Oreochromis niloticus: one gene and its partners. The protein of the gene in region 4 interacts with the protein of the main gene of each other region in a pairwise test. Links are inferred from orthologs where the notes say so. Each region holds a gene or a part of one and is shown on either strand. Other genes may lie near its edges. The genes, in order: txlna, ppp2r5d, ptprsa and ppfia1.

Region 1 (7,553 bases), on a different chromosome or scaffold from region 4:
TGATGTTTAGTTTGTATGACTTTATGTGATTGGCTTGTGTCGACCCGGTCAGAATGACTGACAGATTCCTTCAGGCCGTTTAAACCTTGCCTCTCTTCATTAGAAGCCGCACTAGATGGCATGCTCTCTCACTCCTGAGTTTTCTTTTCTCTTAAATTCAGGCGCTCTTTAAGGAGTTGGAAAAATGTGCAGATTAATCCAGAAGACTGCAATAAAACATTGTCCAAAAAAAAAGAAAATCAGCCACCCCGAGAGGCAAAGGCCCACCTACAGGAAGAGCAGCTCTCACAGGTGACACTCCTTCCACTGGGTGGAGCGAACACAGGCTACTACTTGACATTTTTCTAAGATAAAAACAAAAGAAGTTTAAATAAATCTGGGATTCAGAAATAGTACAATGATTTACATTAAAAGTATTATAATTTAAACTATATGTATGTTCTGATACATTGACAGGGATTCAGATGTAATTCTAATCACTTCTAAGAAGTGGAGAAAAAGCCTCATTAGAACATGTCACACGAAAAAAAAAAAAAAAAATAGGTGGTGAGGATACAAGCTTCTCTTTTTTGTTTTTGCTTTTCTTGATCTTTTTCCTGATCAGGATATTCTGGGCTATATTTTTGGATAAATGTGTTTAAAGTTCCTCGTCAGGCTGCGTGATCAGGAATCTTGTAATCTATCGGGGATTGAACAGAAATCACTAAAAATCACAAATCTGACGTGTCTTCCGTCCTAGGAGCTGTTGGTGTCTTTATCAAAATCTAAAGCAACGTCTACGCTACAAATGTTTACAATGCTTCGTGTTTGTAATAATACTTTTCATATGCCATCACTGACCAGTCGTGCTTCTGCTCTGGTCCTCTCATTTCTTTTACACGTATTTATTTTCTCTATTCTTGTTTATGGTTTTTCATTTGCTCCAAACGACCCATCTTTAAACTGTGACTCGACTTGACTTTTACCGACGGTATGAATGAGCGACGAGAAACTAGTACACTTCAAAACTGAACATGACACACAAACATGAACATGAAGAAAAGATGCATACAGGAAATGGCAACAATATAAAAAATGTAAAGAAATCATAGAGTTAAAAAAAAACTGTTCAGTGGAAATATTGTACAAATCCAATAAAGTTATGTTGCAACCCTTTAATGAGTTTTTCTTCCTCAGTGTTCTTTCATGTTGGAATGTTGACGGTGATATTTAATGTGAAACATAATTTGTTTAGATTTATAATTATTGAAATGTGGAAACATTAATGTAAATATGCCATAGAAGGCAAAAACAGTTGGTATAATTCTTACAAGCCTGATGTTCAGGATTGGGTGTCACCAGTTGTATTAAACACAGAACTCTCGTAGACAAACTTTCTTTTAATGTCTCAAAGGAAATTTTTCTTCAGGAGTCGTTCTCCAGACTTACTGAAGGACATTCAAAGCTATTGTTCTTTTACCTGTCAAGCTGATCGCACAATGACAGGCCAGTCATGACTGATCGTGTTCAACAGTGTTTTGACTTTTTTCCCTCTCTCTTCTATGCTCGTATGCTTTTACTGCATTGGTAGTGTGTTTGGGATTATTCTCATGCGGAGAAATAAAGCTGTTGCCAGTCAGACACTTTCCAGATGGAGACTGCATGCTGGATCAAAATCATATTTTCTGCATTCAGAATTTCGCCAGTTTTTCTTCCTCAACCATGTTTTATAGATGGCTGTAGGCACTTACTGTTGTGCTCTGCTCACATAAAATAAATTAAAATTTGGATTAATTGCTCCAGCACACCTGTTGCCACTGACTTTACAGTCCAGTTCTTGTGTAATTTGGCTCAGCCTCCTTAAGACTGGCTTTTTGGAAGCCATTCTTCCACTCAGACCATTTCTGATGAGGCTTCAGTGAACAGCAGATGGATCCCTCAGGTCCTGTGTAAGGTATACATGACTTTCAGACACTCTTCACCTATTGTAGGTGGTTTTTTAGGCCTTAAGATGCTACAACCCATGGGTTGACAGTTTGTCAAATGGTAAATATTTGAAGTCTTCAGGAAAGACTCACTCAGAGGCTGGTCTTTTACATTCGGTCCATTTTCATCATCTTTTTCCTGCCGTTGCATTTATCTGCCCATCAGGGACTCTCAACCATTAACTGTGCTGTTTATATTGCTCTGTTAACCATGACAATGGGACTAGAGCTCTGTAGTAGCCACCAGGTAGTCCAGCTTTCATGCAAACATTGCTGCTGTTTAGTTTTCCATCTAGAGTGAAAGCAGAGCTGTATGTTTCAGGTTTTTAGAAATCCTTCAGTCAGAGCATAGCTCGCTACTTTCCATCTAAAGATGTTGTACTAACTTCAAACTCAGTTGAACTCAGTTTGGACACAGAAATGGCTAACAAGGTCATACTAACATATGGATTTTTTTAAATATACAGTCTATGTCTTTCTTTCTTTTTATTTGAATAAAAAATACTTGGAATCCTGTAGATCCCAACAACTCATGAAGTAGGAATTTCAGGAAGAAGCTACTGTATCAACACCAACACCACACATGCTGATGGAGGAAGGAGAAAAGAGAATGAAAATGAACAAGCTTGGTAGGGCAGTGTGACAGAAAGCAGCACAAATGGAAACAGATCAGTTAAACATCAAACACATCATTAGCATTAAAAGGATTTGCACATACAGCACAGGCAGGAACATACTTAAATTTACCGCAGTTATATTTATACAAATGATTGTGGTCAGTAAAAAATCCAGAATTTCTCATTGCAGGATTATGGTGCAGTATGATGGGGCTTTCAGTCATTTATGTGTACCAGCCCATTATGATATAAAAAGAAACAAAATGTCAGACAAGGTTTTCAAACATAGAAACAAAAAGCATTTTAATTGATTAAGCAATTAGCTGCAGCGGGAGACAGAAATGAGCAAAAACTGAAAGAAAGGCTGCAAAATCAGCGGGAGGAGGAAAAGATGACAATACAGATGCAAGTTGGGATAAATAAAGTTAGCAGGATGGAACCAGTTGTGCCAAAAAGTGATTGGTGGTAAAATTTTTAAAAAAAAGTGAAAGAAAACCTAAACAGTCAGACAACGTGGTGACAGTGGGAAGTAAAAACTCCCTTTTAACAGGAAGAAACCTTCAGCAGATCAGCTGGGGTTTTATTGTAAAAACTGGGTGGAAAATGATTGAACAAATCTATTAATATATGGTGAGTTTTGATCTAAGTTCAGTCTGTCTGTTACTCCCAAAAAGTACACAGTGGTGTTTGATCCCAATGCAACTTTCAATAAAGTTGGTTTAAAATGATATGTTGGCCTATGCTCTGCCAAACATGTGGCAAACACATGTTTGGCAGAATGACATCAAGTCATTTTGAGCCCGAGAGGACATTCCTGTCACAAGGTAGAAGCTGCAATTAGTTTTTGGCAAAGTGGCTTTGCTTGGTAAAGCATCTGACTGACATTAAAATGTATTTTCCAGAGAGATCTGGCAAAGAGAGTAGCAAACACTGTGACCAAAAAGGACTGGATTGGTTATAATGAATTTAAAGATTTAAAGATACAGTTCATTTCTTTATTTTATATATAACCCCTTCATGAATCATGTTGACACCTCTATTTAAAATTATAAGCAAAGGTACTACACATAGAAAACTTATAGAAACATCAGAAATTGCTTTTTGGACACATCTGTAAAAGCGTTTTACACCCTGAACTAAACCGTACACCAGGAATGTCAAACTCATTCTATTTTCATCTTAAGTGGGACAAACCAGTGAAAATCCCCCTTCTGTACACGAATTGAACTACTATTTAATCAATTGGACATCTTAATAAAAATAATATGTGTATCTGAATATCTGTTTTTCAGTGATAAAGAGATGCTACTGTAATCAGTCTTTCAGTATGACTCTTTGGGCTTAAATTATAAGAAGTAAATGTATAAAATTACAAAAAACATCAGTTGTAGCTCAGATGGTCCAGAAACAGAAAGTTTCTGGTAATTCACAGAACATGACCTTTTTTGTGGACCCTTTGTAAAAAAAAAAAATTACAATTTCTATGGTCAATACCTGTTATTTAACTAATTTGCTGTAGTTAAAATAGCCATGAGGAAGATCTTTATCGGTAAGAAAAGCTGCGAAATGTATTAAATTATATTTATAAGTCCAAAAATTCATGTCTTTCATCACATTTTCCAAATGCACCCAGTGGGTCTTTGTCCGGCTAATCCTGGACCTTATGTTTGACACCCCTGACGTGCACTGTTTAAAATAGGGAAACATAAAACAGGCAAGAGTTACAACTGTGGATAGGAGAAAACAATAGAACACATGCTATGCTATAAGAAATATAGGAAGAAATAACTCAATTTATTGAAAAGCTCACGATGAAAATGTTATCAGTAAATGTGTTATCACGCCATATTTAAGCATTAGTTAATTTCAGCATTAGTTAATTTGACTGAGGGGCTGCTTTGTAACGTTGTAATTGACCCTCCTGATCAGCGTGTGGCGATAAAGCACCAACAAGTTGTTTGCCGAGCGCCAATAAACCTCAAAGAAGAAGAAGAACCCAAAGTTATTACCGGAAGTGAGGTTTTTTTTTTTCTGTCTCACGCTGTTAAGGAAACCTACAGACACATTAGCAATTTCCTCCTTGACTCTAAAGGTAAACAGTTGTATATTACCTGTAAACAACATGTATCATTTATAAGCAAGTAGCAGTGTAGTGTGCCTTCTTGTTTTAGTAGTTTGTGCCCGATATATACGAGCTCACAGTGGCTACCTGGCAGTTGTGTAAGCTAGTTTAGCTGCTTCTGGCGGCTTCTGCTAGCTAACGCAAAGTGAAAGCTAATGGGGACAGGGCACGGTAGAAAAGAAAGCAGCTAAAAAAAGTTACTCTTTAATGTTTGGAGGATAGAAATGGATATGAATTTCCAGGCTAAAGTTCAGGTTTCACCAAACCAATCGTGCGGAGCTTGTCTTAAAACCAAAACTTAAAAACAAGTCCATCAGGAAACGTTACTGCACTGCGCAGGAGCACAGCTAGCAGGAGTAACTACAGGTTTATTTCGCTTGTGGTTCGGCTGCTGCCACTTTGTTTGTGTCCCCATACAGCCGAGGCTTTATTAGGCTAGGAAAGAGAAACTTTATTACGTTTAATGTTCTATGACTCATTTGCGCTGACGATTAAGTGTTGCTCAATAAATAAGTCTACTTGCTGTTATTACATTCCATCCCTCTGAGCTAACCATGGCAGGTTTTTCTCCTTGTAACAGGTAACAAGAGATGAAAAAACAAGATACCGAAGAGTCCACCACTCAGGCTGCTGAGAATGCTCCACCCACAGCTGCAGCAGCAGGGACAGAGTCACCTGCAGCTGCAAAGGACAGCTTGGAAAGCAACAGCCCCAAAGAGTCTGAACCACAGACACCACAGACGGATACACCGCCACAGGGCGAGGAGGGGGCAGGGGGAGGTAAACTTTGAATTCATGTCAATCCCAGCTGGACTAGATTATATAGTAGGCTAAAACCTTCCTATCATCAGTCTTTGTGACTCAAGTTTGTCATCTTGTTTCCCAGTTGTGCATGCGTATGTCTACCAAGCAACCAAGATGTAGGAGTAGAGCTTTTTTCTCTATTTCACTGATTAACCTGCCAGCCAGAAGGGTACATGTACCTGTTTAGTCCCTGTGAGAGGAGGAGGCACACATACACATTTTTTTTCAGTTGACTGTTGTAGTTTAGAAATTCCTGCTCTAAAATCTTTCGTTTTTGAAAATTATTCATCTGCTGTCTACCTAATTGGCCTGGGAGTTGGTGGTGATAGTTCTTATTCTGATTTGAAGCAAGGAAGCTTGCTAATAGCAACATATGATCCAGTGCTTTAGTTAGTGTGTCCTTCCCACTACAAGCTGTGGGGGGGTTGCACTCTCCGGCCTGCTTTAGACTTCTGTGGGGAATCTTTGTAGAGCCTAAGATGTAACCTATGTAAGTGCATTTATGCTGGTGCTGATGCATTATTTGTTAATTAACATAGGGCCTTGTCCCGGTGTTTCACATGCAGTGCCTCCTGGGTCCTCGCTTGTTGCTGTGGTCAATTTTTTTTCAGGGAAGTTTTCCCTCTTAGTGTACATTCCTTCACGTCCATTCCGATAGTTTCAGCAGTCTCCCTCCAGGAATTTTCTGACATTTGTGAGTCCTGATATTGATGCTAGGATAATTATTTTTTTTATACTGAGGAAAAGTTATCCCCTCACTGATAAATTCAAATACTGCTGTGAAAAACAACAGTCGCCTCAAGGTACTTTATATTGTAAGGTAGACCCTACAATAGACCCTCTGCAGACAAACAGCATTTAGCAGCAGTATGACAAAGTATACAATCAAAAAGCTCAGTGCCTCTTTCATTTTCTGCATCTCAGTTGTCAAGCTCCAGCTATGAAGTGCTTCTGCATCAGTTTCAGTGCCATGCTAGATGCACGCATCATAAGCAGTGTTAGCAGATACGGACAATGATAGTCTACTGGCAGAATTTACTAATAGCAGGTTCCGGCTCCATATTATAATGCTGGCACCACTAATGTTTGCAGACTCTACACTGCTTAGAATAGTTTGCTTGCTGTTGTTATTATTATTAGTTGTTTCATTTTTCTTATTCTTAAGCCTTTAATTTGCTAAGTGAGATCCAGCATGGCCAAAGTGACAGTTAGGAAGTAGAAACGCTGACCATGTGATCATCTGTGATGATAACGCCAGTCACAGGCCTTCAGATGTGCGTCGTGGTTGAGGACGGTGCCTAAAAGCATCTCAAAATCACAAATCAATTAAAGATTCTCATTTATTTTCAAGATATTGTAAATAAACTGTCTAAACTTCTAAACTGTTGCTGAGCTGATAATCTAGGTGTTTTTTTTTTGGTTTTTTTTTTGTTTTAAAGGAGTATTTCTGACATGGTCTTGTAGGGAGTGAGCTTCATATTTCTCTCGTTATATTTGTCGAATTCTACATTGTCTGTTTTTAAAAATTTTTTTTTTATTATGAACTGAAAAACCAAACTGCAACATATTTGACTTTAGAAGAAGAAAAGCAGCTAGAGTCATTTTTTTCCCCTCCATTCTGTGTAACTGCAGAGGCTCCGTTGTCTCAGTGTGACATGGCAGAGGAGCTGAGCCGGCAGCTGGAGGACATCCTTAGCACCTACTGTCGGGAAAGCATTTCAGACGACGCCAGCGCCTTAGCTAACGGCCAGTCACACAGCCCAGAGCTCAATGGCCTGACCAATGAGAGGGAAGATGACAAGCCAGAGGAAAGCAAAGTCAATGGTGGTGACAGCGGTGTGGGAAAGCAGCAGAAGAAAACTCAGGAGAAGAAAAAAGTGAAGGGTCTAGGTAAGAGGGGGAAGTGTGTTCAGTGTTTTGGCCAGATTTATAGGAATAAGTGGGAGAAATTAGCGTGAGCGCCCTGCACAAGGAGTGATCCAAGTGGAAAGATTGTGAGTAATCAACTAAAAATGCAAATTTATGACTGCACACAAAACCATTTTG
Region 2 (7,765 bases), on a different chromosome or scaffold from region 4:
ACGTAACAAGTCACGTGACGTGACGCTGCGGCTGTGATTGGTTCGGCTCTGCACTACTTAATTTGGATTGGCTGTTCTTTTTTTTTTTTTCTTTTTTTTTTTTTTTAAGAGGACAAGAGAGATGAGGCCTATCGCAATAGTTTAATTTTTCTATCGAGAAAAAGTTATTTCGCAATACATATCGTTATCGTTTTATCGCCCAGCTCTAAATGCTGGCCAATCAGAGTTTCCGGTGTGTACGCTAAGACTCGATGAACACCGACCAGCGTTTCTCCTCCGAGTGAACCTGAGCAGCAGCACGGGCATCGCACTTTCACAGTTCTTATTTTGACTTTTTGATCCTAATTCAGGTTCCAGGGCGAGTTACTCGTCTCACTGTGCCGTGTTTCGATCTGTTTTTATGACTTTCAGTCTTTTTACGTCTTACTGTATGGAGCGCACGTATCACAGGTCATCAGGGAGGTGGGAACTTTAGCACACTGACAGTGAAATCACAACAGCTCCTCTATATTTTTACTTTAGTTTTCCAACTTCACAAAATCATTCTAGATAGACTTTCACAATAAAGGCTGCGTGAGCTCAAAGCTCCCTCTGCTCTTTGAGGTGTGCTCCCACAGGTGAACCCTCTCACCTGCTGAGCGATCCTTCATTCTCATTCTAACATATTTAACACGCGATCTCAGCCGCGTTTATCACAACAGCCATGTGCGCATCGCCACAGCGTGAGGACGTCTGCAGGCGTGTCACCAGCACACGGGATCAAACCCGAAGACAGGAAATCAGCACCGAGCCAAACCCTTTCAGCTTAAAAGTAGCTGATCTCTGCCAAAGTTTGATTTATTATCATCATCTTTTTAAATGATTTTCCATTTTTTAGTCTTCTAATATTTATTTATTTTTTTAAAAAAGTATTTTTATTTTTCATTAGGTTTTGTGTATTTTAGAGTTTTTATTTGTTTTTATATATTTACATGTTTCTGATTTTGAAGCTGTATATTTATGTTTTGGATGTCAAATTCTGATTTTGATCTTCTATGTTTCCAATTGTTTTATGGGGGTTTTTCCTTATAAATATATTTATATTTTTATACATACACTTTTCTGTTTTCATCTTTTCTTTTTTTTACTTTAAATGTTAATTTTATATGTTTTAGCTTTAATTTTTCTGTTTTTTGTTTTAACTGAATTTACTCATTTTGGGGTCAGATGTTATTTTTGATCTCATTTTGAAACTTTATTAATATTTTTAGGTTTAATTTAAGTCTTGTTTTTTGCTGTATTTTGCAGTTCTCTCATTTTTGCAAAGAATATTTTTTTAAAGATATTTAAATGGAATAAAAATATTTGATCGTTTAAACGCGTTTTAAATACTCGTTGCTGTGTTTGTGTTTTTATTTTATTCTTTAATACTTTTCTCGCTCATGTTTAAAATGTATTAATTTTTTTGTGTGATTTATTGAGCGAGTCGTTTTCATTACATAAATGTGACTTCAAACCTGCTTTTGTAAAATTATTTTCAGTTTAAAGTCGCCGAAAAATACAATTTCGGACATCGGAAACAGCCGATTAATCAATTACTCACAGAGAGAAGATCATCAATAATCAATGACTGTGGCCGTTACTTATCAGCAGTTTTTCTCTTTTGGCTTTCTTGCTGCTCCGTTCAAGTTTACAGACTAAACAAATAATCGATAACAATCAGCAGAACCGAACATAAGTGCTGGGTTATAAACTGATCAGTTATCTGATCATTACGATCAATGATTGATCAGCTCTGAGCGCTGCATCATTAAACAAATCGCTTTAATCCGGTATTTCTCTGGGTGTGTGAGGTGAGCTCAGACTGCGCTGTGAGCCTAGGAATCACAGCATCCAGCGGGACATCTACCGGTCATCCTGTAGTCTCAGTTAACGGCTAACCGCTTCTAGCGCCTCAGACCCTCTCCTTCAGCCGAGCCCTGCATCAATAATTCAGGCACAGTCAGCGACTCTTTCCGGAGCTCCGGCAACAGAGCACGGCTAATCACGGTGGCCAGCTACACGCTAATATCCCTGCTAAGTGTGCGCTCAAACACTCAGCAGGTGTGCGGTTAAACGAAGCGTCTCCGCGGCGGGCGCCGAGCACAGACTCGCGGCTAGCCGTTAGCTTAGCGGTCCTCTGCTAGCTGGGCCCGAGCTAACAGCTAGCAGGTGAGCTAGCCATTAGCTCGGTGAAATAAAACGTCTGAAGTCTCCAGCAGCAGAAAAAACACCCGCCACACCGAATCTCAGTGGAAAAATGCCCCGGGCACGCCAGTGACGCGGATCTTACCTTTTCTTTCTTGGTTTTGTTCGGCATCTTGACCGCGTTGCGGGGCTTTTCCACGGAGATTCCCTGATGTTCCTCCCCGGGACTCAGACGCTGTCACTCGGTCTGTCTCAGCTCCCTGCGACCTTTCCCGAGCCGCCCAATCCGATTGGCTGCCGGCCTGGACGTCTGCCTAGTGATACGTGGAGTGATTTTTCTGATTGGCTGAGTTTGAGTATAACGGCGAGGGTGAGGCTGCAGGAAGGTGAGGAAGAACTGGAGTCTTCCCCAGCAACAAAACACCTTCAACCTGATGATACCGAGCCCCGCGGACCGGAGCGAGCCAGAGAATCGCCAGAACCACCCGAGTCCCCCGCCTGTCCCCGATGCAGCGGCAGCAACATGTTATAATCACACAGACAGGAGCCCGAAGCTCAAAGTTCCAGCTGCACCCACTCACAGAATCAGAACCCAAGAACACATCTCAGCACCTGAAATCATACTTTTGATTCTTCAGCATGAATTTGTTGCAGCAACATGCCTAACCGGGGGAAGACCTCAGGGGAGACCCCGAACCCCCTCTTCTGGTCTGGGAGCGCCTCAAATTCCACAGGTGGACCCAGAGGTGTCGCTGAGGAGAAGATCTGGAGTCCCTGCTCAACCTGCTGCCACCGTCATCAGCGGAGGATGATGGATGATGGATGATGGGTCGATGGATGGAGGCAGCAACATGTTTGAATTAAGCAGCTCCAGATGTTTTCAGCTGTGTGCTGCAGGCAGTTTTACTTGTAATATTCCTTCTTTAAAACAAAAAAAACAAACAAAAAAAAAACTTATGTCATTTATTCATTTTTTCATTTCTTTCATTTTCATGTTTTCCAAGTTTGGGTGTTCTTTTTTATTTTACATTTTAAATTTATTATTTTTTCATCTCCATATTTTTCAAGTATTAGAGTCATTCCATGAAAATGGCACAATTTGAGTCCCTCTCGTCTCTTATGGTGTATTTCATCTATTGGGTCACCAAACTTTCTATTTAAACAGCTTTACATATATATTGAAATGTACCCTTTAATACAGTGTAAAAAAATTGAACTAATTTTTATCTTTTTATGGGAAATAATACAGTTTTTTCATTTGACACCACCTATTTTGTCATGTCCCTCATGGCCTTGATGAAAGTTTACTTTGAAAATACCAAATAAAAATATTTAAAAAGTCAATAAATTTTGGTATCAACCTAAACATCTATTTGTGCTTTTTTGCTGTTAATATTTGTTTTTTTTCAAATTTAATTGTTAATTATTCATTAAAATCACAATTATTCCTGTACCTGACTAACCCCTCAACCCCGTTACATGAATGATCCCACCGCCATAAATACAATGGTGTGACCCAGAATTCCATATACATCAGGAAGTGACATCACTGAAGTCTTTTGGACAACAGGACCACAGAGACAGGCAAGTTGCTCCATTCTTTTCCTTTATTTTAGTCATTTATCTTGTGATATTGTGGTCGTCAACCTCAATGACTCAACACTGTAACATGAAAAAAAGATAGAAAACTATTACTTATGAAAAAGTTTTTTGTTAGTTCATGAATATATGGTGATTTTGAATTTCATGCATGCCATGTGCTCTCTGTCTGGTATTCACTACATTGAGCAGCGGGCAGTTTGTGCAAAAATCTCAACCCAGTCACACTCAACCCTGTCATGTTTTTGATTGTAACGGGGTTGTGAGATTGTGATGGGGTTGAGATTTTAATACTTTGGTTGTTAAGTTATCCAATTATTTAAATTAATTATTATTATATTCAATCACCATTCTTATACTGCATGCATGCTGAATGTGATTCATGTTCCATGTTAAGGATGCGAGTAAGATGGCACCAACAACAGCAGCAGAAAGGCAAAGGAAGTATCGTGAACGCCTTAAAGCTGATCCTGAAAGAAGGGAGAGAAACCTGCAGAGTGAGCGTGAGAGATGGAGGCAACTGTCAAGGTGACAGTCAAGAAATCCGTGGAGGGCACACAAGAGGACCTCGTTGAGCTCTTCCAGAGCTTTGTAAAGAAATTTAAAATGCATGACTTTAATATCAAGCAGCAGTATGCCTTCTGCCGTGAGCTGAAGAACAACATGTCAGGGGAGGAGACTTTGATACATGTTGACTTCTCAGAAAACTACAGCTGTAAATACAGTTCTCAAATTCAGGTGGTCCACTTTGGGGCTTCACATCAGCAGGCCACCCTTCATACTGGTGTGTTGTATGTTGGTGGACTCTCAGAGCCTCTGTGCTTTAGCACCATCTCCCCCAGTAGACATAAAGGCCCTCCAGCAATATGGCAGCACCTAAATCCTGTGCTAGATTACCTTCAAGGCCAACATCCACAAGTGTCTGTGCTGCACTTTTTAAGTGACGGACCCTGTACGCGATACAAACAACGAAGAAACTTCTACCTTTTCACTACAGAACTGGACAGAAGAGGATTCAAGGCTGGTTCTTGGAATTGTTTCGAGGCTAGTCATGGAAAAGGAGCACCAGATGGTGTTGGGGGAGCCTTAAAAAGAGCAGCTGACATGATGGTAGCAAAGGGGCATGACATCCCAGATGCAGAAGAGTTATTCAGGGCCTTTTCTGAAACAAACACAAGTGTGAAACTGTTCTTTGTGAAAAGTGAAGATGTTGAGGAAGCAATGGAGAAAATGCCAAAGCAGATACCAGCTGTTCCTGGAACCATGAGAATTCACCAGGTCGTTACTGTAGCTCCAGGAGAACGGATGGTTCGTGATGTAAGCTGCATGTGCACAACACGGAAGCAGTTTAACTGCAAGTGCTTCAACACCAAGTGTTTCACTTTTGGCCAGAAGGTAGAAACAGCTGTATCACAGACAGGTAGTGGGGGGAATCCAGAAAAAGAAATCCAGTGGGAAAGTCCAGAGCTGATTGGTAAATGGTGTATTCTCAGATATGACGATGATTTGTATCCAGGCATCAGTCTAAACATACAAACAATACAAGTCCAGGTCAAATGCATGCATCATGTTGGCCGCATCAGGATGATATCCTCTGGTACCTGTCTGATGATGTCCTTGAACTCATTCCACCCCCACGGGCTGTGACAAGGCGCCATGTGGAAGTCTTGAAAGAGGTGTGGAACCGACTCACAAGATGAATTCATGAAACAAAAGGCACATTCATGCATATATACAGACACACACACTGATGCAGGCACACACATGCAAAAACACTCTGACATGGACACAGACACAGGCACTGATACAGACAGACACACTGAAATCGTTAACTGATTATTATTGTTATTGGTTCAACCAGTTCATCAAGTTTAATTGTATGTTATCGGAGCAAGGATGAGGTGACTTTTGGCACACCTGATGAGGCTCTCTTATGCCTAGACACACACACACCCACCCACTTTCACTCACACACACACACACACACACACACACACACGCATTATGTTACATTTGAGCAATTCACTTTACAATGTTTGTTAGTTGTTAATATGCTGTTGTGGTTGTTTTTACTTTAGATTAATAAAACTTAATTCTACTGCAATTTGTATCTGGTGTCCTTCCTATGGTTACAAAGTGAGATATAATGCTAATGGAAAGCCCTATACATTGAATTTAAGAGTAAACAACTGTTTATATGTAAAGCTGTCTCTTCAACCCTGCTAGTCTCAACCCCATCACACCTACATTTTCATATATTATTTTCTTAAAATGTTGAAAAAATAATTTAATGTTTGGGGATTTCTGTCTAAAATACTGAGTGCTATCATACGATCATTGATTTTGATTACAATTCTTACTTAAACTAAATTTTTGATGAAAAATGACAAGATTGCTTTCACTCATTAGTTACATTTCAGGATTTAAGAGAGTAAAAATGTGTGATTTTATGTCATTTTTCTGTGTAAAATTATTGAATTAGTATGGGGACATCTAATTACTGTAAACATATTGATTTCTTTAGAAATACATTTTATGATAATAACAGAGAGCCTCCAAAGTGTCCATAACGGGATTGAAGAATTGCAGTCACTACATCTTGAAAATATGATCAATAATAAAAGAAAACTAATGCCTGAGATGGGAAAATGCCTTTTTCTGATAGTTAAATATATCCTTAATGATGTGGGATATACATATAAATAATACATTTTGGTAAAAAATGTGAAAACATCCAAGTCCAATTTTAACCATTTTCGTGGAATGACTCATTAACATTTATACAACAAGCTCTTCTTAAACACAGAACATTAGAAACTACATTTCATCATACAAAGAAAACTTGGTTTATGGATTCAAATTAGCGATCAAAGGAATTTTATTCACGCGTTCATACTGCTGTTCATCTCTCCCACAGATGTGAATTCATATTTTCATCTCAACAAGCTTCTCTGAACCTGCACATCTGCTTCAGCAACCAATCAGATCGCCGATGAGGACAGATGTTCCTCCAGATGTTTTCAGTTAGCATCAGACTGACAGAGCTCGCAGACTAATTTCAACTTCTTATTTTTAATTTATGTTGTTTAGAGACAGGAAAAAAAAAAACTAACAAAAGCAGTGGTCCTTCACTTCAACCAAACTTTATTTGTCCAGCACAGAACAAATAGCTGACAGACCATTGGCCAATCAGCCGATCGCAGGTTTGATCATCAAAACAACATCAAAGAATTTAATAAAAAAATAAAAATACAAAACTGATTTTTTATATTCAGGCAAACAATGCAAAGAATAAATAAATCATTAAAAACATAGAGAAACATCAAAATCATAGAAAAGTTTTTTAAGATTAACCAGAAACTTGAAAGGGAAAAAAATCAAATGCATTAAAGCCCCTTTTTGAGCTTATAAACGAGCAAATCGAATGACCACAAAACATTAAAATGGTAAACTAACATTTAGAGAGAAAAAAGTGGAAAATTCACATTTTAATTTGGAATAAAAATCATTCAAATATGTTTAAAATTACTACAAACAAAAAGTAAAACATAGTTGTGACTCTTTAAAAACATAATAATTTACTGGCTTTGACCATAATTGACTTCATCGTGTTTTTCTGGCATGCACGCGCACTTCTGTACAGGTTCCCATCCTCTTACCTTACTCCAAGCAGAAAGAGCCAGGATCCAGGACACACCTGAAAACCATCAGGCGTGACATATACCTGTTACACCAATCAGAAATAAGATGTGCAGTGCGATTGTGAGACACGTGGAGCTGCAGCTTAAACACAGTCTGTGTGGGAAGAAAGTTTTTAGACTTTTACTGAAGCAAAACTTGTAACAGCACAGACGTGAAACAAACATACTCCACATTACAAACATATACATGTTACTAATGCATCATAATTATTGATGTGTACATTTCTTACATCCAGCAGCTGTTCATAACTTATACTCGGTGGTTATCTGCACTCCAAGTAGTTTAGAGTATAAACCAC
Region 3 (7,664 bases), on a different chromosome or scaffold from region 4:
TGAGGGTTTCACCTTGCACCTCAGCCACCCAAGCAACTAAGATCTTGAACGAGAGGAGTATCAAGACATCCAGCAACACTATTATTTGTTAAAGAACAGTCCTCACTGACTTTATTCAGATCTTTGATTCTTGATCTGTATGTTAGAATGACCTCTTTTGCATGTCTAACATGGGTATTTGACTGCTCCATGAACACACAGTGGATGCTGAAGTACTGCATAAAATGTGTTCTCCAATTAAGTATGAAGGAAAGGCTGTTCTTCCACAGGCCTGTCAGACAGGAAAGACTGTGCTCTGCGATAGTGATCATTGGGTACCACTGCATCTTAATATTAAGAAGAGGACAGAAACATAGCGACACATTGTTCTAAAATATGGATCTGAATTAGAAATTAGACTGAAATATTAAAATCATAAAAATAATAGCCAAATAAATCCCAAGGGTGCTGTTCTGCCTAAAAAAAGATGAGGGAATACAAATCTGTATGTGTGCATGTCTTGCTCTGTGTGCTAAGCTGCATCACATCATTTGTTTCATCATTACGAAATCAGCTCTGCATATTTCTAAATCTTCCTTGCAGAAATCAAACTCTTGACTGTTACTGGAAAAAAAAAGATGTGCATGAAATGTGAAAAATGTAAAACTCGAGAGGCATGTGGTTGGTTGCTTGAATAAATTTGTGGTAGCATAAGTCAGAAGATAATTTAGGAAGTATCGTGGGCTATTTTCAGTGGGGGGCGAGGGGTGTATGCTTCTTCTTCTTCAGCCCACTGGTGGCTGTTAACCTGACTTGTTCTGATGTTCCTGGGCATTGTGTTTTGCCCGTGTGGAGGATGGGGCGAGGGGGGCGGGAGTCACTCCAAATTTCTCATGTGACGGAGCATAACAGGGAATTGTAATACACAGCAACATCATAAATTTGATTACATTACATAGCACCGCGAGCCTGTGAGCCATTTCCAGGCACCATAAAAAAGCTATAACTAAGTTACCACTGGTACAGAGAAAAATGAATAAAGCCATTTTCTTTTAACAACCCGGGCGCGGGCGAGATATTGTTCTCTCCTCTGGCTTTTATGAGCTTTGCAGACCCGCGATGCGCTCATTGCGATCGAAACAAAGAGATGGAACAAGATGGGAAATGCACAACTTCGTGAAAATGATAGACTAAATTGTTTTGTGGCAAATATGGCAAAACCAAACTCCAAATAAAAACACGCTGTTAGAAATAAGAAATCGCCTAAAAAGACTATCTCTGCTCTCATGAATAATAATAAGAATGAATCCGAATGATACCTGATGTGTTTGCTTTGCTTTTACAAAAATATTAAACTATGAGAGGAATCATCCAAATCATATGAAACTTAAAAAAATGGGTACTCAGTTTCTAGTCCGTGTCCGGGGGACTGTTTAATTTAGAAAATCTATTTAAGAAAATATATATATATGTATATATGTGTGTGTGTGTGTGTGTGTGTGTGTGTAAAACCAGCTTTTTTATTTTTATATATGTCTTCAGAGGCTATACACAAGGTCTTTCACGTCAAATGTCAGCGGGAGCGACAGGATCTACAGACGGGAGCAAATTCCAATCGTTTCGGAGTTTCCAGCTTCAGCAAGGACGTTACTGGCAGTTAGACAAAGTCAGTGTCATTGCTGTGCTGACTCCACCTCGGTGGCTCTGTGGAAAGCTCGAGTGGCGCACCTCGAAATGAGCCCAAATACGTTCTACAAGCCAGAGGCAACGTGATGCGCAAAAGCAAAAGCCCGTCCAGGGGCGCAGACCAAACCCCGCTCTCAAAGTCCAACATTTACAGCTCAGGCTTGAATATTGATCAAACCAGAGATCCACAGAGAGAAAGGGGAAAGAGATACAGGGGACAGAAATGATCGAAAATAACATTTTTACGGTCGATGCCTACGAGAAGAGCTGGATGTGTCCTGGTCTGAGGGCATGCTTATATAGCCGGATTCTAACGAAACGCCTGTCACGATTGACTTGGTCAATGAAACACCCCCCTGTGGAGATGCACTTGCTAGATGGAGAACCCCCTCCCAACACACACACACACACACACACACACACACGAGAGAGAAAGACAGAAAGAGAGAGAGCGAGAGAGACACACCCCCGCCCGAAAAAAACAGATGATTAAGAAATATGTAAAATGTTCCAAAGAAGGTCTATGGTGCGTAAAGAGGAGTAAAAGAAGACCTTAAAGAAATCTTGCTTCGCCTTTCTGCTGCAGAACCACCCAGGCTTCTTTTTTCATTTTGTAATTAAGTGAGTGGGAAAACAGAACAGAAAAGGGGAGCAGTGCCTGTTGCGACCGTCGTTCGTGAACGCATCCCCGTTATTCAAGCGGCAGAGATGCTCTGCCACTATAGCAGCACCTTTGCGAGGGCAGAGTCGAATCTCCCGCTGAGTCCGGGACTTTCGAGCATCTCGTTCCGTCGCTAAGCCCCGTTTCAGCTTGAACGTGCTTTCTTGCAGTATTCTGAAACGCTTTCTTTGGGGACTTGCCTTAGTCTCTGTGCAGGTGTTAAGACGACAGAAGAGATCTGTGCGCTCCCGGACCTCATGCCTGATGCTTCCCCCCCTTTCTTTTACACACAGATAAAACCATGACATAAAAACCAAGGTCTAGTGGAAGAAAAGTAGCCGAACACTGTTCAGGAAAACAGGCTGAGAAGTCTGCCTACCTTTTGTCGGCGTCGGAGTTCCAGCTTTTATTTTTTTTCTCTCTCTCTCTCGCTCTCTCTCAGCTCATAAACCCATCACATCTTCATGTTTAAAACAAACAATAATCCCCGGGTTTGTGTTAAATCTGTGCGTCCCCGCGGCAGGTCCAGTGAGGAACCGTACACGGGTTCCCCTGCCGGCTTAAGTAGTGATTTTAAAATCCACCCCAAGAGCGCAGGATGCTCAGGACGCGCCTGGGTACGGCAGGAGGAGTCGTTCCCTCAGCAGCAGCCGCCGTGCGCACTTGGAGAAACCAGAGCTCTGTCCGTGCAGAGAAGCTGAGGGAATGATGTCATGCGTCCGGCCCTCCCTCTCCAGCCACCCCTCAACTGAAGGCTCTCTCTATCTTCTCTTCCCCCTCCTCCCATTGCCCCCTTCTTTTATAAAGCTACTTTAACATTCTAATTTTATTATCACTACCTTTGTTGGTGTGTTTATTTAATTAATATTTTACTCATTGGCGACTATACATGAACACTGCTTTAAAAAAAAGGAAAAATCTAAATTTTTACAATGACCTATTTTGAGGAGAAGTTATTTTAACTCAAGATAATTCAGAATTATATTACAGCTTTTCCATGTATTCCCTAAACCCTTTCCTTGAGCAGTGGAGAAAAAAACGGGACTTTATGCGTAAGAAGAATTTGTTTTAGAATGCAGGTTTTTGCAGTGCTCCACTCGCTATGATGAAGTCATACAGTTTTCCCCCGCCTTACTAAAGGTTTCATCCAGTAGCATCACCAGGATCCCTTTACCCGCGATAAGAGGGAAGGCAAGTTAGCATGAAACAGGCCAATGCCTACAGCGCACTGTGTCATGGCAACCGCCCCCTACTTGGTGCAGCAGGGGTATCTTAAAGATAAAGCATCATCTCTTCGTATCAGACTTAAAGCATAAGCTCGTGTGTGTATCAAATATTACACTGCGAATGCAAACAATCCATCTCACTGGACTGTTATTTACCCATTTATTTAAACGAGACTGTGGATAAATTGTGTTCTAGTACACACATGTTTTTAAACTTCTAAAACACAGTTAAGAATAAGTTATCTCCATATGATATGAATTTCCTCTCTAGAAGATGTAAGGGCAAAATACAAAACTGCAACTACAAGAGCAAGGTGTGACTTAAGAAATGTATTATACTGACTTAAGAAATGTATTATACATAAGCCAGTGTGTGATTCATTAATATTATAAAATTATTTTTGTTTGGATTTACTGCAAAACCTTCACAATAGGTAGGAAGACAATGAGGTATTTTCTGCACTTTGCTGCTGACTGCTAAACCCCCTCAGAAAAAGAACAAAAAACAGAATGATAAGGCCCGTGAGGGCATTTAGTTAAGGGTTTTAGTTAATCAGATGTTTTAAGTGACAAGTCTGCCTTCCTCAACTTTGTCTAGTGCCACAGATGCTCTTACAGGGACAACCTTAAATTTAGCCTCCTGGAGCCCAGCCACTCATACTTCTCCTAATGCATGGAGTTGCTCCTTGAAGGAGGCACTTAGCCTCAAGTGGCCAAGAAATGGCAGTTGATGGACACTTGAAAACACAGGTTTTGTGTTCAATACATTGCTGCCTTCTATCAGACCATCTTTCCTATCATGCTGTTTTCTGTATTGTGGTGATAGACACACTCTCGCTTGTTGTCACCAGTGGATTTTATATATATATATTTTGTTTCAGCACTCAGGAGAGTAGTTGGAAAACCCAAGAAAACCTGAAGAACCATGAGCGCTCTTCTTGCCAGTTGATGAGTACCAGTCTGTTTGATGCTAAGGGCTAATTCTTGACCTTTTTGATTCCCCCTAGCTACATGTTCACAACATACTAATAAGTACACTGAAGATGTTTTAACATTCTCAGTTTCTCAGAAAAAGGAGAATAGGAAACCACTGATAACAGAATTATTGCCCTCTTTTCAAGTGTATGTATATCAGTTATACAATTATGTTTATGGCCTGTTAAACTTTTATTATAAAGAATAAGAAAGATTGTTTCCATCTGTTAATACACCTGTATACAATGCAAATAAAATATGAAAGAGGACTGAAATGCATAGCTATCCAAAGCCAGGAAAAATTTGGGCATTCATCCTCCTTCAGTGCACTTCATCCTCACCAAAGACTTACTCCGATCCCCATTTTTCAGTCTACAAAGGACAAAAGATGCAATGCATTATTCCCTGTGGTGATCAAACCGCTGCTGGATACACTGCATCAAGCCAGATAGAAGTAGAAATACACAGCTACATGTTGTAGCTGTGTACTGTGACAGTGTCGAAAAATATGTGGAACAACTGCTATGTGGACTATTCTCATTTGCTTTGTTGTCAGTCTCTTAGAAGACAAAGAAGTTCTTTCTAGTGAAGTGAAACTGAGTGTTTAACACAATGAGAACTGTCCACTTGGGCCACTGTCTGCACTTCTCATGCTGCTTTCTTGAACTTTAATTATTTTTTAACTCTGTTTTCCTCTTTGGGGTGAACAATTGTCACTCAATTCCTGCTTTTCAGTGACCCAGCAGTCTTCCTACAATTACCGTCACCACGGTCTGGCTATGCACCATTGTTTTTCTTAGGGTTTTTTTCTTTTGGTGGACTGCATGTAATCACATTTCCATACCTGGCACATCCAAGATTCTTCTCCACACACTACAGACTTATAGCAGTAGTTTGGCTCATTTCTGTACAGGGGGGAAAAAGTGTCCTTCTCTGGGATTGCACCATCCCTCTCAAACACCTGCCCTCGCTGCTACACCTCAAATGCAACCTCTCTGCTCAGCCTGCCTTCTGTTGCATTCTAGTCTTTTTACTACTGGTCTTTAAGACTGCAGTAAGAGCCTCTACACCTGTACAAGTGAACAATGAAGTTCCTTTGGCTTTCAGTGGGCTCAGAGTATCCCTAATAGTTAGAAACTACTGTGAAAACTACAATGTTTCCTAATTTGAACATTATATACATCTGCTGTTCAGTGGAAGTTCAATCAATGCTTATAGTTTACAACTGCATAATTAATTAATAATTATAATAATAATAAGCGCTCTGATCTTGTAACAATGTACATGCTTTTTCATCCCTTATACAAGCCGCACATTAACCGACTTCACAGATAAAATGTAAAGTTGGGTTCTTACACTTCTGCCCAGCCCATGGTGTGCATGGGGGCCACACTTTTATTTTGGTGTTCTTTCTGAGTTGTGTTCTAGGCAACACATGTTGTGTAAAAATACCACCTACAGCTGGTATATAATACCGACTGATTATGTGTTTCTCAGACCATGATATGTTGACTAGAGTTGGTGCGCGTTGGTGTTTGCTTCTGTGCTTGAAGAATAATCAAATAGCATTATTTCACCTGAAGACAGAGTGCTTTCTTCAGGACTGTCCGGACCATTTAATATCAAACATAATTTGCACCTGGATCCTCTGTATGCACCCTGTGTTTGCTGCTGGGTGCTACAAGAAATTACATACCGTTTGGTATCTCAGTTCCTCGACCTGATGGATTCATTGTACTCACAGCCACTCGTTTGGATTTTACTGTCTATTCAAAATATTTAAAGTAGAACAAAAAGTGACCGGTTGCCTAGGCAAAGCACATTAACTGTCTTATTGAGCTTATGTGATATAAATTTTAACAGTCATAAAATTAGCATGGTTTTGTAAAGACTAGACTAGAGAGTGTGCATGCACACGTGCACTTAAGGCCTTTTAAAGATGGCAGTCCTCAACTAATTTCTGCACCATCTGGCTAACATAGAGGCAAGGAAAAAAAAATCAATCAATCCATCAGTAAATAAATAAAAAAAATATAATTTGTGGGCCCAGTGGGGATCAGACTCCTAATCTAGGAAGTATGGAAGCCTTTCTCTACCCGCTTAGCTGGACATGACCGTGTGACCTTTAAGCCAAGCTAAAGCATTTAAGTTCCTCGGAATGATCATTTGATCGTCTTTTTCTTATCTTTGCTTTTACTTTAGATAATTGGACGTTCCTTTGATAACATCTGCTTGCACGCCTGCTCACACCAGACACTGTGAGCCAAAAGCCAATGGGGCCAATGGGGCAAGCACTTGGAAGTGAGCTGATGATGATCCAAATATACAGCATGCATTTGAATATTCATGTCTTGGTGACTCAGTTTGCTTTGTTCTCACATGATTCTCCTGCTCTTCACTGCAGTAAAGAAGTGTATCATGAAATAAGAAAAGAAGCAAAATTTGCAAATGCAGATATCTGTTGAGGCCGCTACTAAAACTTAATTTGCTATGTTTCCGTGCGTTCAATTTACCTCGGCGAGACCAATCTTTAAAGCAGTTAAGGGAATATTCTCCTGGCATACTGTCTGTTGTAACCTTGCCATGTCTTTGAGGTGGATGAGTCGGAGAGAACCACAGTAATAATAAAAAAAAAATCAGCTTCTACAAAGTATTAATAGACATCAGTCACACCACTGTGTCTCAGCAACAGTAGCTTTATAAGGGTTGCATCATCAGCCATGAAAAGACTATAGCTGAATTCTATTTGGGTTTTAATATAAATGTTTCTCTCAGTTAAAAGAGCAGAATTTTGCCTCGAGTCAATTAACTTTTCACTCTTTAAAGTATTAAAAAAAGACCATAACATCAGTTTTACACTATGTGGCAAACTCCAATCTGCTTTGAGTTCAATGGAATAATGTTACCTAAACAGCAGAAGGAGCTCATAACAAAATGAAATTATCCCAGTGAAACTGATATTCACTGTCATACAACCAAACTAAATAACAGAATTTTCTGTTGCTATTTATCCGAGGAAGGCTGAAACAGTTCCGGACACTTGATAGGTGGCATTGTTGGGGGACAGGTGAGTCTCCCTGCATCCTCATAAAAGGATTCTTCTTTTTTGTCTTTCTCTATTACTGTCAGCTTTCCTT
Region 4 (7,372 bases):
GATAGTCCTATCACAACTTCAGACCTATCTAAATGCGAATAACATCTGGGATAAATTCCAATCTGGGTTTACACTGCACCATAGTACAGAAACGGCACTCTTGAGGGTCTTCAATGATCTTCTTTTAATTACTGACTCTGGGTGCCCCGCGGTCTTAGTTTTGTTGGACCTGTCCTCTACTTTTGATCTGGTGGACCATAATATCCTCTTAATGAGGCTTGAACATCTGGTTGGCATTATGGGTATGGCCCTTAGTTGGTTTAAATCCTACTTATCGGAGAAGTCCTTCTCTGTCAACATGGGTATCTACTCCTCTTCCATTGCCCCTGTTACCTGTAGTGTTCCTCAGGGGTCTGTGCTGGGTCCTATGGTGTTTTCTCTATATATGTTACCCCTTGGTCGTATTATTGAAAAGTACAAACTCTCTTATCATTGCTTCGTGGATGACATTCAAATTTATTTTGAATAGACTGAGGATGATACTTCATCGATGCTTCGCTTCTTTGATTGTATAAGTGAGGTTAAAGACTGGCTGCTGAGCAATTCCCTTATGCTAAATGACAAGAAAACGGAAATTGTAATCTTTGACAGTAATACCCCTAGAGCCCATCTAACTGGTGTCCTCGGGCCCTTCGCTGATTTTCTTTCCGATTCCGCAAGTAATTTGGGTGTTTACCTGGATGGCTCCTTTATGTTTGACAAGCATGTGTCCTCTGTTATTAAATCTTGTTTCTATCAGCTTCATTTCATTTCTAAGGCCAAGCCATACTTACCACATGAAAATCTAGAAAAGCTTATCCATGCCTTTGTCACATCCAGGTTAGACTACTGCAACTCCCTATACACTGGGCTTCATTCTGCCCTTCAGATTGCAACTTGTCCAAAATGCCGTGGATTGCCTTCTAACTGGTACTGTAAGGTTTGAGTCTATCACCCCAATTCTCACTGGCCTCCATTGGCTTCCAATTAAATACCGCATTGATTTCAAAATTCTACTGCTTACCTATAAAATCATAAATAATATCGCACCTAGCTACCTTATTGAGCTCCTCAGCGTGTATATTCCCAGTAGAACACTGACATCGTCTGACCAATTGCTCTTGGTGCAACCTAGGTCACGGCTGAAAACCAGAGGTGACCGTGCCTTCGCTTCACTTCGCTTCCTCCCTCATGCTATTCGCGTGTCTGTCTCAAGTCTTCAAGTCTCAATTGAAAACCCATCTTTTTAGTTTAGCCTTCCCGGCTTCCTAGAGCATGCCTTTTAAGTGTACCTTCTTGCCCTCCCCTTTTCCTCTCTTTTGCTTATATTGTTTTATCGATTTTATCTTTAAGTCTTACTTGCTTATCTGCGTACTTGTATGCTTGGTTAATCAATGCCTCCCACCTGCTAGCTTATCTGCTTTGTACTTTGCTACTGTTTTATTGGATTTTGTGAAGCACTTTGGCTACCTCTGGTTTTAAATGTGCTATACAAATAAAGTTGTATTGTATTGTATTGATCAATACAAGTGTAATCAGATTGATAGTTTCTGGGGGGGTTTTCTGTATGTACCGCTGTGGTCATCATAGAGGCAGTCTGGTCTGCCACTGCATTCAAGTATCATAGCACAGAAGAGCCACAGTTTGCTCCTCCTCTCCCCTCTTGTGCTGTGATGTTGTACTATCACGTGACTCAGAAGCACTAGGCAAGCAAGTAAGCATGCTCACACTGAAACATGTTATTTGAATAAAAACATTTAGTGGAATTGAAACAAATATACCAAATATAATATGCTTCAGATTTGATTGAATATAACTACCCTTTTGTGTTAATTGTGAAAGGGATACTGCATGATTACCATATTTAAACTACAAGTACATGTCCTACACACTTGATCATTTTATTGTTTCTGTTCTGGGTTTTAACTAATTAATTCAGATTAAGCCATTTGATGATGTATCCACCTTTATTATTAAAAAGCATGGTATCGGTATTGGTATCTGCCCTGTATTTATTGGATCAGTACCAAATCTTGCAGTCATTGCTACTGACTAGCTTAGCAGGTTCTAACCCTAACTTTTCCAGTGGTGCATCGGTAGTGGACAAATCCCCACAATTTGGAAGACATCCACTATCATACCTATTCCTAAATATTGAATGAATTAGCTGATTTCAGAGCAGTTGCAATTACATCAATTGTAATGAAAACCTTTGAAAAGATCTTAAAAAGTATTATTGTGTCCTCCAATAATAGCAAACTTGATTCTTTGCAATTTGCTTATCAGTCAAGTAAAACTCTTTTTAAAAAAAAAAAAACCACAATTTAATTTTTGTTGTGCTTTTAGAAGCCCCTCGAAAAACCCAGTTCTCATGCATGACTTCTGTTTGCTGACTTCTCCTCTGCTTGTAATAAGATACAGCCTCATATTCTGAGGGAGAGACTGGCCTCCCAGACCAGTTCCCGATGCCGATTTTAAATGTTCTTACTCAAAGGGTCCAACAGGTCCTCGTTAGTGGACAAATCCTGCAGGATTGTGTCGAGCTCTGATTCACCCCAGTGATGTGCTCTGTCACAACTTATTTTTATTATGTACACAAACAGCTGCAGGACTTCTTATGAGAACAGATTTATAGTCAAGTTCTCTGATGACACTGTCCTCTTGTCCTTGCTTTATGGCCCTGTTTTACCTGAATTTGTGAAGTGACTTGATGATAACTATCTGGATTTAAATGTCCATCCATTAATTTTCTTTGTTTGGGAATAGTTCCTTGTGTATTAAAAGTCCCATATATACTTTTAGTACACAAGGAACCAGCAGTCACCCACACTTTGAAAACATCTACAACACCGACAGAAGGAGGATGGAGAACCAGCTTTACCTGTACAGTGTCAGCAGAGACTGGAGGGGTCTCTGGACCATCTTGGACTATAAGGAGTTCTCAGCCTATAAGGGACACAAGTGGTCAAATGAACTGCATCACTTTTTTAATTGGGTTTGATTCATTATCTGCCCCCCTCCCAGGTCTGCTGCCACTGCTACAGCCACAGCCACCACTACCCCATCTCCACCTCAGCATGTCTTCACACTCCCAGTTCATTTCCAGTGTGCTGCCTCTCCCCCTAAGCCATGATCCTCCAATACACAGCCACCCTGTTTCTAACATGTTTCTGACTCTAATGCCCAAGAGGCTCTGCAATACCGCCACCAAAACACTGGGTGGAGGTAGGGAGTATATAGCATTGTTGGCCAATCTTTACTTTTTATTTGTGCTTCCTGTGTTTATTTTAAATAATGGTGACTACAAGGCATGTCATACTACTCCAACTGGAGTTGATACATCTTGAAGAAGAGATACTGATAATGAAGGAATTGCAACTGGAAAACCGAGGGTCTTGAGTTGTCACCTCACCAAGAACACCTTACTGATGTTCTTGTACCCCATTCCAACCTTGTACAGACCTGGAATGGAACAGATTGATTCTGTGGTGTGCAATGAAAATCTCTACATCTCCAGCTCTGCCAACTCCAATTAAGCCTCATGTCTTTTTGTCAGTTTCACCTGTCTCCCTCTTATTCACACACGTAGTCTGTCTTGCATTTACCTGTCAAACTATACATCACAAAAGGACTCACTGCCATATTTTAAACCTCAGACCTGTCAAATTGTTCATTAAAATTAAATTGCATTAAAGTTTTATTAAAATGCATTAAAGTTATAACTCAAACATTTTCTAGTGAGCTTCTGTAAAAAAATAAATTCTCAAAATATCACATCAAAATTGACAAAATAAATGAATACAAAACTTGTTGGGTTAATCCGTCACAAGAGGGCGTAAATGTTCTTTATTGCGAGAGCTTGGTTTATCAGTAACGACTGAATGTGGGCCAAAGAGTGAACTAAAGAAATTATTTGGAAAAAAAACAAAAACGTTTGGCTCTTCGATACCTTCTTCCAAAAGTTACATTTTAAATTATAATGGCTGAATTCGGTTAAGATGACCTCGGGGCCTTTTAAATCAAACTCTTAAATGTTCCTCTTAATCATAGTTACGTTATATTATTATTATTATTTATTATTATTATTATTATTATTATCATCATTATTGGTTCTACAAGCAAAACATAGACAAAAATACAATATTAAATGTTAAATGTAAGTTACATGTGTATTTAAAACATATCAGAATACAAACTATGGTAAAATAGCCTGTTTGATATTAGCCGAACGGTGAGACATCCGAGAACCTTCACAGACATACATCCGAGATATTGTAACCTGTAAATGTAAAGAAATAACAGTATTGTTGATGGAAAAGTCGTGCTTTGTCTCTGTCTTTTCAATACACGACGAGTGTAAGCTTATATCCCTACAGGAACTGAACGTACTGCTACTTCTCCACTTCCTCCTGTTGCCAACCTGGGAAGCGCTCTCTTCCCGTAGACTGGCAGGCTAAGTGCAAGCGACACTTAGCCCACCATTGGCTGTCCCGACTGCCGAAGCTGGCAGGCAGTGGCGACAGGGAAGGACCGGACCAACGGACCTTTTTGGTGGAAATACTGACAGAACGCCGGGAAATCGGGCGGAAACAAAGGGAATATATGTTTTTATAAGCGGTCTGGATTTCGTAAACAGACTGAAACGCTGCTAACGTTGAATGTTAGCTGGAAGTTTCCTAGCTGGTGCCGTGATGTGGTGACGCGACTCCACGGAATCGACGGGAAGCTAACGTTAGCTGATGCTAACGCTACTTGATAAATGAATAATTTTTAACAGAGCTTTTAAGACTCATTTCAGGATTTTAGCATTTTAGATAGTGTAAGAAACTTTTATGATAGATTTTATCATGTTATGTACTTTTATAATAAATAATGTTAATGCTTCAATGACTGCCTGACGTTTTTAAGCTAAAATAGAGCAGCAAACATTAGCTTCCTAGCTGGCTAGTAGCTAACATTGGCTAGTTGTCGACTTTAAACTGTCTTTAAGCCAAAGAGTCCTGTTTCAAATTAGCTAAACCGACTACGGCTGCTTATTTTTTTCACGTCACTTAACTGTATCAGTTAATGTTCACTAGTTATATATGAGTCAAACTTTATATCTGAGGATGGTCGTTCGTTTTGAGATGCAAAAATGAACGCTTCGTTCCAGAATCCAGATATGCAATCACCGAATCACCAGCTTACTTAGTGCTTGTTGGCTAGCGCAGAGTTAGCCAGTCAAACTTGGAATACTGCCCCCTGCTCACTTTATGCGAGTTTCGCTTTGAGGCCTTTTCTGAAATTATCTTTTTTTTTTCCACCAAGAGGACCCTTTCACTGCCTTAATGCATCCCTGCCTCTGAATGGAATTTCTGTTTTGAATGACTCTGGATACTTGTAAAGCTTGACAAGGCTCTAATCCACAGTTGGAGTTAGCTGGACTTGTTGACGTTTACTTCGTCATAACATAACCTGGATTTACGAAGGAACTTGGAGTAATAATATTCTTTGAAGGTGAGAAAGAACTTTAACACGAAACAACTTTAGAAAACAATTGTAGGGTTTAACCTAACTCCCAGACGTATCTGATAGCAGTACAATGGGCAAGCACTATACCGTCGATGCATTTCGGCTTCCAGCCATCCTCTTGATGGGGACCTAGTTCTTCATTAAAAATAATCATTTACAAAATGCAAAATACAAAAATACTTTAAATAGATTTGTAATTACTTTGACAATTGGTGGCCCCCTCAATCGTTTGCTATACCTCATTTACTACCCTGTTAGCCTTTATCTTCGCTCTGCAAAAAAGAAAAAGCTTCGAGAATCGCTCCTCTGCAAGTCAGCCAAAGTCCTCTACTTCCACTTGTCATCCTTTAGTTTTTGATGCATGGTGCAGTAGGTAGGTAGGTAGGGTAGGTAGTGCCCCCCGCCATCTGTCACTACCTTTATAAAGATCCTCAATGTGACCATCCCCCTCTTAAACATGGTTTATCCAGAGGGGCTTGACCTCAATAAAAAGCGTTAGTTTGGATTTTGCGTTTCACTTTGCAAGGGTCTAGTAGGTAGATTTGTTCTAAATAATTGGCATGTATCAAGAATGGTCCGCCTCAGTTATAGGAAAGTGCAGTTAAGTGTTTTTGAGATTTTGGTGTACCTAGCTGCTACGTGTTCCCTATTGGAAGTTGTTGTTCCTTTTAGGTTGGTTAAATCCAACTCACATGATTCCTGCTTGTCTGTCTGGGAGCCTGTCTACAGGACTTGAGCCGCTTGATATGGAGAGCGGCTTTATTACCCAGACCTTCTCAGCTTTTTCGTAAATTTAACTAGAATGGGTTAACGTAATTGTTTTTCTATAGACTACTATCAGCACAAACTAGTTAACCATTACAGTAAGTCAACTAGATTCAACTGATTTTGGTCTTTGTTGTCCCTTTTGTTAGTCAAAAAGCTACTGTGAGGGTTAATTTAAACTATGGAGATTAAATTACCCCTGATGAGGACTTTGAGACTTGCCCACTGTCTAATGTTATATCTCAGTGTGTTAATAATTTTGTTGATATAGGATCTGTGTGGGGGGGTTTTTTTGTTTTGTTTTGTTTTTCTTTGGTGTTCTTCAAAGAAGTTTTAGTATTCAGTTTTAACAAGTTAATATGCTTTTTGACTCTGTAATGTCCTAACAAAATAGCACACAGACCTCTGTTGCATAACACAAGCTCTTTGCCTTAGCATGAATATTGCATATACAGCTTTCTTTCCTGCATAGCTACGCCCAAATACTCATTCTGAAACATGTAAATGACACAGTTGTAACTTTGTTTTTATAAAACTTGGCTAGGATCATAAGCGAAAGAGAGTAATGAAAGTAAAAAGGAAATTATCCATAGCACTTAGTAATTGGTGTTATGACTTCTCCATGAGGGGTGAATTTTTTGCTTTATTGACGTGACAGTGACGGAGGGCCTTGTCTCTCCTGTTTTCTCCTGCTCTTTATTTTTGCAGATGATGTGCGAGGTGATGCCCACCATCAGTGAGGCCGAAGGCCCTGGTGGTGGAAATGGAGGAGGCCGTCGAGGTTCTGGTTCGCCACTTCAATCTGACTCAGAGGGTCACTTTGAGTCGTTGATGGTGTCTATGCTGGAAGAGCGAGATCGTCTTCTTGAGACCCTGAGAGAGACTCAGGAGAATCTGGGCCTGACCCAGAGCAAACTGCATGAAGTTAGCCATGAAAGGGACTCACTACAGAGACAGCTGAACACTGCTTTGCCACAGGTCAGTGAGAGAGACTTTTTTTCTTAAAGGAAAATCCTATTCTTAGTCCAGGTAGATTAATTCTTAAAGAAATTCAGTGTTTGCCATTCTACAGTTTCTGCCTGAGACTAAGCCTTTACTGGAAGAAATGGTACAGAGA

Evidence for each region.
Region 1: the proteins of ppfia1 (region 4) and txlna interact in binary tests that used the Homo sapiens proteins (3 or more experiments, as listed by UniProt). The link is inferred for Oreochromis niloticus from reciprocal best matches to the Homo sapiens genes PPFIA1 and TXLNA.
Region 2: the proteins of ppfia1 (region 4) and ppp2r5d interact in binary tests that used the Homo sapiens proteins (3 or more experiments, as listed by UniProt). The link is inferred for Oreochromis niloticus from reciprocal best matches to the Homo sapiens genes PPFIA1 and PPP2R5D.
Region 3: the proteins of ppfia1 (region 4) and ptprsa interact in a two-hybrid assay, tested with the Homo sapiens proteins (2 studies listed by BioGRID). The link is inferred for Oreochromis niloticus from reciprocal best matches to the Homo sapiens genes PPFIA1 and PTPRS.

Annotation. Positions count from the first base shown.
Region 1 is NC_031985.2:30,555,147-30,562,699, reverse strand, and holds the start of txlna (alpha-taxilin), read left to right. Parts: upstream 1-4,533; 5' UTR 4,534-4,673; intron 4,674-5,283; 5' UTR 5,284-5,293; coding exon 5,294-5,483; intron 5,484-7,139; coding exon 7,140-7,397; intron 7,398-7,553. UniProt on the Homo sapiens protein: May be involved in intracellular vesicle traffic and potentially in calcium-dependent exocytosis in neuroendocrine cells.
Region 2 is NC_031978.2:2,409,109-2,416,873, reverse strand, and holds the start of ppp2r5d (serine/threonine-protein phosphatase 2A 56 kDa regulatory subunit delta isoform), read right to left. Parts: upstream 3,015-7,765; 5' UTR 2,339-3,014; coding exon 2,312-2,338; intron 1-2,311. UniProt on the Homo sapiens protein: The B regulatory subunit might modulate substrate selectivity and catalytic activity, and might also direct the localization of the catalytic enzyme to a particular subcellular compartment.
Region 3 is NC_031980.2:33,544,392-33,552,055, reverse strand, and holds the start of ptprsa (receptor-type tyrosine-protein phosphatase S), read right to left. Parts: upstream 3,015-7,664; 5' UTR 2,706-3,014; intron 1-2,705. UniProt on the Homo sapiens protein: Cell surface receptor that binds to glycosaminoglycans, including chondroitin sulfate proteoglycans and heparan sulfate proteoglycan.
Region 4 is NC_031965.2:3,504,123-3,511,494, forward strand, and holds the start of ppfia1 (liprin-alpha-1), read left to right. Parts: upstream 1-4,372; 5' UTR 4,373-5,475; intron 5,476-6,963; coding exon 6,964-7,233; intron 7,234-7,372. UniProt on the Homo sapiens protein: May regulate the disassembly of focal adhesions. May localize receptor-like tyrosine phosphatases type 2A at specific sites on the plasma membrane, possibly regulating their interaction with the extracellular environment and their association with substrates.